2 linked regions of the Sus scrofa genome follow. The protein of the gene in region 2 interacts with the protein of the main gene of each other region in a pairwise test. Links are inferred from orthologs where the notes say so. Each region holds a gene or a part of one and is shown on either strand. Other genes may lie near its edges. The genes, in order: VDR and CCND3.

Evidence for each region.
Region 1: the proteins of CCND3 (region 2) and VDR interact in a two-hybrid assay, tested with the Homo sapiens proteins (2 studies listed by BioGRID and IntAct). The link is inferred for Sus scrofa from reciprocal best matches to the Homo sapiens genes CCND3 and VDR.

Annotation. Positions count from the first base shown.
Region 1 is NC_010447.5:78,217,827-78,221,635, reverse strand, and holds part of VDR (vitamin D3 receptor), read left to right. Parts: intron 1-866; coding exon 867-1,051; intron 1,052-1,432; coding exon 1,433-1,553; intron 1,554-3,809.
Region 2 is NC_010449.5:37,179,362-37,183,708, reverse strand, and holds the start of CCND3 (G1/S-specific cyclin-D3), read left to right. Parts: upstream 1-1,246; 5' UTR 1,247-1,631; exon of another isoform or gene 1,632-4,347. Other genes in the region: TAF8 (transcription initiation factor TFIID subunit 8), read right to left, coding at 167-323, 1,106-1,150. UniProt on the Homo sapiens protein: Regulatory component of the cyclin D3-CDK4 (DC) complex that phosphorylates and inhibits members of the retinoblastoma (RB) protein family including RB1 and regulates the cell-cycle during G(1)/S transition.

The sequences.
Region 1 (3,809 bases), on a different chromosome or scaffold from region 2:
GCTAGGCCTGCATTCAGATCCCAGAACAGTCTGGTGCTCCACCTACACCCACTTTATGAAGGAGGGAACAAAAAAAGGACTTGGAAGAGATCATATGGTCCAAACTTCCATCGTTCCCACTGTGGCTCAACGGGATCAGCAGCGTCTCGGTGGCAGCAGGATGCAACTTAGATCCTCAGCCCTGCACAGTGGGTTAAAGGATTGGAGGTCCCGTTGTGACACAGTGGAAAGGAATCTGACTAGGAGCCATGAGGTTGCGGGTTCGATCCCTGGCCTCGCTCAGTGGATTCAGGATTCGGCGTTGCCATGAGCTGTAGTGTAGGTCGCAGACACAGCTCGGATCTGGCGTTGCTGTGGCTCCGGCATAGGCCGGCGATAACAGCTCCAATTGGACCCCTGGCCTGGGAATCTCCACATGCCGCTGGTGCAGCCCTAAAATAAAACCGAAAAGACAAAAAAAAAAAAGATCTCATGTTGCTGCAGTTGCAGTGTAGGTCACAGCTGCAGTTCAGACCTTATCCTTGGCCTGGGAACCTCATATGCCACAGAGTGGCCCAAAACAAAAAAGAGAGAGATCATATGGTCCAAATGTCTCACTTTAGAAAAAAGCAAACAAAAACCTGCAGAGTTCAGTTTGTCCAGAGTCAGACACCTTGTCCTTGAGATCCCAGGCTCCCCACCGTCCCACCTCCCACATCCTGTTTCCTCCTCTCTGCCGAGCCTGCCTTTCAACGTGCAACACTGATGGTCCATCCGTCTCGTGGCCTTGGCGTCCCCCTCACACCTCGTGCCTTTGCGCCCTGAGGGAGGTTCCACAGAGGCGGTGCAGGCCCGGCCCCCCTGACTCGCCCCTCCCCGCCCCACAGTCATCCTGACGGACGAGGAGGTGCAGCGCAAGCGGGAGATGATCCTCAAGCGGAAGGAGGAGGAGGCCTTGAAGGACAGTCTGCGGCCTAAGCTGTCGGAGGAGCAGCAGCGCATCATCGCCATCCTGCTGGACGCCCACCACAAGACCTATGACCCCACCTATGCTGACTTCGGCCAGTTCCGGGTACGTCCACCCGCTGGCCGGGAGCATGAGCAGGGCTGGCAAGTGGGCTAGAGGGCAGGGGGATCCCCGCACAAAACCTGGGAAGGGGAGTTCCCGTTGTGGCTCAGTGGTGATGAACCTGATTCGTACCCATGAGGACGTGGGTTCAATCCCTGGCCAGGCTCCGTGGGTTCAGGAGCTGCGGTGTAGGTCGCAGACGCCGCTCAGATCCCACGTTGCTGTGGCTGTGGCATAGGCCAGTGACTACAGCTCCAATTCGACCCCTAGCCTGGGGACCCCTCCCATAGACCCTCCGTGAAACCAATCCTGTCGGAGGTCAGAGCTGAGGCAGGAAGGGGGCCTCCAAATACGAGCTTCTGACACTCTACCTCTCCCTTCCAGCCTCCGGTTCGCGGGGATGAGGAGGAAGGGACCCTCCCCTCCAGGTCTTCCTCCGCGCATGCGCCCAGCTTCTCCGGAAGCTCGTCCTCTTCCTGCTCAGATCAATACACCTCCTCTCCAGGTAAGTGGGGCTACCGCCCCCTCCCCAAGAGCCCGGAGCTTCCCCAGACCCCTGACCTTGGCTGCGGCTGGATGGGCAGCACTCTGTGCTGTGCGGCGTCCTCAGAACAACCTCTTTTTAATGCACACGAGGGTCCACACTGAGGACACTGAGGAAGAGGCCAAGCTGTGGTGGTGGTGGGGGGTCTGCCTGTAGAGTCAATTTGCTTTCCTCTAAGCCAGCCTTCTGCCCCTGGCTCCTTCCCTGGGAGCGACCTGGTTCCTCTAAATGGTATTTTGAGCCTGGGCCTTTGGGGTTTTTCTTTTGTTTGGTGTTTGGTTTTGTTTTCCCCAGTTTTCTTGAGATGTCACTGACATAACATTGTGTAAGTTTAAGGTGTACGATATAATGATTTGATAGAAGTATACATTGCAAAATGATTGCCACAGTAAGTTTAGTTAATCTCACATAGTTACAAAGATTTTTATTTTATTTCCTTTTCGGCCATGCATGAGCCAAGGGCAAGTTCCTGAGCCAGGGATCGAACCCATACTACAGTAGCGACAACGCCAGATCCTTAACCCACTGAGCCACCAGGGAACTCCTACAAAGTTGTTTTTTTTTTCTCCTCTGTGATAACTTAGAGATGTACTCCCTTAGCAACCTTCAAATATAATAAACTGTATTGTTAACTACAGTCATCAGACCCTGTGTCTTTGCAGAGTGAAACTTGGCATGGAAGGAGATGTGGATCCCACCGCAGCCCATCTTCCCCTCAATCCCCGGGGGGGCCAGTAAGGCCCTGGATGACCTATTCCTTCTAGTTCATCTTTGCTTTTTTCTTATGGTCCTTTTCTGCCTTCCTCTTTATCTTCCTGCCTTACCAGCTGCCCTTGCCTTCATCCTTCACCCAACCCAACTGCCCTTTGCTTGGGGCCTGTGGGAGGGCAGGAATGGAAAAGCCCCCTCCCTTCTATGGAACTAGAACCCTCAGACAGGGTACTTCTCGGTTCATTTATGGGTCTGTGCCCGGATCCAGAGTAGGTGGGAAGGGTCCATGCACCAGGTGGACAGAGATGGCAGAGGAGCTGGTTGTCATGTCCACTCACCTGCACTACCACCACACGGGTAACTCATCCTCTGAGCCCCTCACCTTGTAGAAACCTCTCCCCAGTGTTAATTTTCTCAACCCACCTTCCTGCTCCTTTTACTTGCTGGTATATTCATTTTAATCAATGAGGGCCAGTCTGCATGTGATACATTGGTCTGTACTTCAACTTTTAATGGTTTTATTTAGAAGTTTTGACTCCCTCTCATTGGTTAATTTGAGGAGCTCCCCCCTCCGCCATGGTATGTTCAATGTAGCATATGTTTATTTAAAAATTCAAACTAATTAACATTTTTTATTTTTTTAATTATTATATGAAGGTAATACATGTTCATTATAGACATTCAGAAAATAGAAACTAAATTATGTAGATTACATATATTATATAATCTTTCATCACACCACCCCAAAATAATCACTACTGACACTACGATATATCTTTTTCCCAAGTTTTAATACATATGTATATTCAGAAATGGAATCATGCCATACTTAGCCTGCCAACTTGCTTTTTTCTCTTAATAGTGTATTATGTCATATTTTCATGCCATCCACTACACGCCTAGAGTATAATTTTTAAAGACTGCTTAGTATTCTGCAGTATAATGTACAATAACATATCTAAATCTCCTCTCCTTGGATACGTGGATTTTTCTTTTTCCCAGCTTGTTATTAAGTGAACAGCATGCTGGTGGCTAAATATTTGCACTTGCTCTGAACTTTTCCTTGTGCTGAATTCATGGAAGTAGGATTACTGGTCATAGTGTGTACATAGTTGTAGGCTTTGGACCCTCATGGTCCAATAACTTTCCAGATTACTTACACAAATTTATGCCTCCTTTAGTACACCAGCACTGCACAAGGATTGCCTGATTCCCTGCATCTTTACAAATACTGGTATCAACATTGAAAGGAACTTGTGGAGTTCCTGCTGTGGCACAGTGGGTTATGAATCCAACTGCAGCGGCTTGCAGAGGTGTGAACTGGCACAGTGGGTTAAAGGGTCCAGCATGGCTGCACCTGAGGCTCAGATTCAATCCCTAGTCTGGGAACTTCCATATGCTTTGGGTGCGGCCATAAAAAAATAATAAAAATAAATGCACTTGTTTCTAGTTTAAGGATGAAAAGTAGATGCTCTACTTGGCTGTTCGTTGGTTACTACTGAGGTT
Region 2 (4,347 bases):
CCAGGGATCGAACCCGAAACGTCATGGTTCCTAGTCAGATTCGTTAACCACTGCGTCACAAGGGGAACTCCACTAGGTTCTTCTTTTTCTTAAATCCTAATACTCTCTCAAGACAGAGCACAGATGTTTGGTTGACTCAGAAGGCCCCTTGTTTCCTGGTACTTACAGCTCTGCAGCATCTCTGTCAGTGTTTCCACAGATGCTTTCTCAGCGCTCTCAAACCCTGCCTCTGTTAACAGGGAGCTCACAACCACTTGCAGAGTTCGCCTCCGGGCCAGATGGTAGTTATCAGCAGGGTTAGTGGACTGTTTACTTCCTGATCTCTGTAAATCAGCAGCCCAGAAAGAGAATACTTTCATCCTCAGGACGAGGATGCAGTCATGTAGTTCACATATTGTCAATGGCAAACAAAGGTTCTTTTGCTAAATCTTTATGTATCAGTGTGGTAGCTCCTGATGTTTAGACTTACAGCTCTTCGCCAAATAACTGAGCACCCAAGTGGCTCTAAATTCGAAAACAGCCTTTCTGCCTAGGTAAAACTTATCAATTACAATAGTACAAAATGGCCGTTTCCTACTTTCTATTTTGGATTATCTGAATATATAGCTGAAGAAACATGCAGGATAGAATTGAATTCATTGGTCCATCTCCTAGAAAAAAAGTAATCTCTCTTTTGTCCCTCCCATCTCCACACCATTAACGAGGAAAATTAAAACAACAAACAACACATGCTGCTGAGTAGAGGAGGGCAAATGATAAGAACATCGACAAATTAAAAAGCTAAATATTTTGAAACAGGAATCCCTCCCAACTTTGGCGGGCCAATAAGAAGGCGAAAAGAGCCCCACTGGACCAATCAGGAGGTGTTCCGGGTTCCCAACCCCCAACAGAGAATGAGCCAATCAGTACACAGGTCCACCAACTCCCGAGGCCGCCGCCAAGTCTCGAGGAGGAGGAGGGGGGCATATACGGCCTGAAAGACCTTCCTCCACTCAGAGCATGTGGTGGGGCCCTATTTCTGGGTGTGAACATGTTGCCAAGGCTAGGGGGACATTACAGAATCCCCAGGCTCTCTGGGCTTCCGCCCCGCGCCTCCCGCCCTTACCGTTCCGGAGGCCCCGGCCCCGGCAGTGGCCGCCGCGTCGGCCATCTTGCTCTGGCGTAATGTGCGCGAGCGCACGGCAGGATGGGACTTGTAGTCACCCGGCGGGGAGGAACCGCGAGGGGGCGGGGCCGCGCGCCCCGTTGGGCTTTGTGGGGCCCAGCCGGGTCGGGGGTGAGTCTGGTTATCCCGGTTCACGTGACCTGTGAACGGTGGGTTCAGCGAGCCCCGGAAGTGGCTAGGAAAATGAGCCCTCGGTTTCACACCTATTTAAAAACGAAATCGTTTTTCATAAAAAGCACATCCCTGGAACGCTCCAAACTTGCCTGATTGTTAGCCACACCTGGCTAGGTCCGGCGGATCCCCGTGACTTTACTCTCTGGAGGAGGGGTCTTGGGCATCTGTATTCTTAAGTTCTCCAAGTGAGTCTCCTGAGCCTGGATATTTGGGGAAGCTTTGTTTTGTGCTGACGGACCCAGAGCCAGCCAATGGCCCACTTGGAACGAGAGCCAGCAGTCACGTAATCCAGGTGTGCCACTGCATCCGGCTGCCTTCTCGCCCTCAATTAACCCTCAGGTATTTTTGGGGCGAGCCGGGAGGCGTCGGCGGTAGGAGGCTGTCCGGTGCCTGCCTCACTCCCAGGCCGTGGAGTCTACGTAGTGCCTGTGGTTTTCTGCGGTTCACTCGCGGGTCAGCCCCTCTGGATGGGGGTCCTTCATGCACCGCGCCTCGTCTGTCTCCGTTTGCGGGTGCCCGGCAGCTCGCAGAGGCTGGGTTTGAATCTCAGCACTCGCCAGCTGTGGGACTTCGGGCAAATTACCTAACCTCACTTTGCCTCAGTTTCCTCTTTCGTGAAATTAGGGTGGGATGGGTAGCCGCGGGGGAGGGAATAAGCTAATATACACAGAGTTTATCACTGTGCAGACTGAGAGTAAGAGGTCAAGAAGCAGCGCCTAATGTTATTTATTTCTTGCGTGGCGAGTGGATGAGCAGAAAACGCTCACATGCAGAAGTCGGGGAAACCTGCGCCACGCCTGCCCCGCCGCGCGCACCTGAGCGTGGGGGGCGCCCGGTCCCCTCACCTGGGGCACAGGGGGCAGGTCTGACGGTCGGGGTCGCTGCGCGGGGTGAGCCACCCGGAGAAATCGGGCCCCAAACCTGAGTTGAGCAGAGCACCCAGCCCCTTTGTCTCCTCCGCCCCCCCTTCCCCACTTCCTGCCCAGCTTTAAACTCGGGATTGGCGGCGCGGCGCCGACTTTGTAAACACGCCGCGCCTGCGGCGGTGGAGACTGGTTCTGTTTGGGCGTCTGGGGGAGGGGTGCACGCCCCTCCCCGCGGCTGGAGGTGGCGACCCCCCACCTCGCCAAAGACAGAAACCAGAGGCGGCGGCGGGAGAGTGTCTGCGGCCACGGCCAGTGCTCCGGGGGGCTCACCTGCCGAGGAGGTAGGCTTGAAGGCTGGAGAAGCCAAGATAGATGGGTGTCAGCATCTCCCCGCTTCGCTGGGGCCTTCGAGCTGAGGCGGGACACCTGGGCGGGGAGTCGGAGGTGGCGACCTGATCAGCCTCCTCGATGTCTCTCAAAGCTCGGTTCACTTTCTCTCTGAGTTGCAGAGGCTGAAAGGCAGAGAGCTCCCCCAAAGCTCTGAACTTTCTCTGTGTCCACACAGGCCCTCTTCAAACTGATCTGGAAGCCTAGTGACTTCACTGGGCTGTCTGTCGTCCTTCTTCATAATTCAGAGATGGGGTGGGAGGCAGTAGGGGGGCAGACCCAGTGTGGGCAGCGAGCCTTGGGGGTCCTCCTGCCAGCCAGGGCTGAGGGAGGAGGCCAGAGGACTGGAAGGAGGAGCCTCTCAGTGGGGGTCCCTTTGGTGTCTGCGGGTTACACAAGTGACGGCTTTAGCCTCTTCTGTGTCTTTTAATGTGTCAACAAGAGGATTAACTGAGGAAATTGGTTGCTATTATTCAGAAAGCATTACGGTATTCATTTGCACACATTGAGCGCCTAGTATGTGTCTGGGATGGTGTGTGGGCGCTGAGGGTGCAGTGATGTTATTTGTCCACAGTGATCTAGCCTGGGTCATAGAACACCAGAGATAAGGTGCCAGGTTGGGGTGGCTGGGAAGGCTTCAGAGAGAAGAGGACATTTGAGTTGGCTTCTGAATGATGACTAGTCCCCAGGCAGAGGTGTGATGGGAAGTCTTTGCTGGGCACTTATTGATTCTGCAGAGCTGGACTCGCCCCTGACTGTGGCATTGGGCCTTGGAAAACAGTGGGCACCCAGAAGCCGTCTCGGCATTCTTTAACCCACTGTCTAGACATGAAGAAGAGATAGGAATGTAACAGGATGACTTTAGGGAAAGGCATGTGTCCGGGCTGGTCCCCAAGAACCCAGAAATTTCCAGCTGGACGAAGCTAGGAGAGTCCACCCCAGGGGTGATGTAACAGTCCACACAGTCCTGGGGCACCACCCACTCCCCGTCCCTGGATGCTGGGACTGCGTCCTCTACCAAGTCCTTGCACTGTGCCCTTTCTCTTTGGGACCAGAGAGTGAAGAGAACTGGATTCCCCCCATGCTTCCCTGTAGGTTCTTCTGCTTTTTCAGTCCCCAGGCTCCCTTGGGAGATGGCTGACACAGCAATGGATTCAACCATCCAACACCTGTTTGCTGTGGCCACACTGTCTGCACAGGACATAATGGTTGACAAGTCAGAGCCTCTGCTCCCCTGGACTTTAGGATCAAAAGCGACTCTGAGAATTCCAGCAGGAACCTAGTCTGTCCGGTCCTTGAGCCCATGACCTCCGAGTGTCTTCTCTTTGCCATTTCCTTCCCTAAAGGGTCCAGAGCAACAGCTAGGGCTTCTATAGCACTGTCAAGTACCCTCCTAAATGGTTTTGGTGTGATGTCTGGTTTAATTCTTCTGCCCGTCCTGTGAGGTGAGCGCTAGGATCATCTCCATCTTCTCGTTGAGGAAACAGGCACAGCGACCATTTTCCTAAAGAGGACACCAGGCGTAAATGGCAGGGCTGGGATTTGAACCCAGGTCGCTTGACTTGGGAGACCTGGGTCAGCTGACCTGTTCTTAACCATTAGGCCAGTCTGCCTCCTTGACCCACCACATGGGATGTGAGCCTTGAGCCAGGAGCTTAGATGTTTCCGAAAGGAAGCTGTGGTCCTGTATCTCAGGCGATACAAAGGAGAGCAGCAATCTGTTAGCTGAGCTTGGGTGCTGGTGCTATTTTCAGG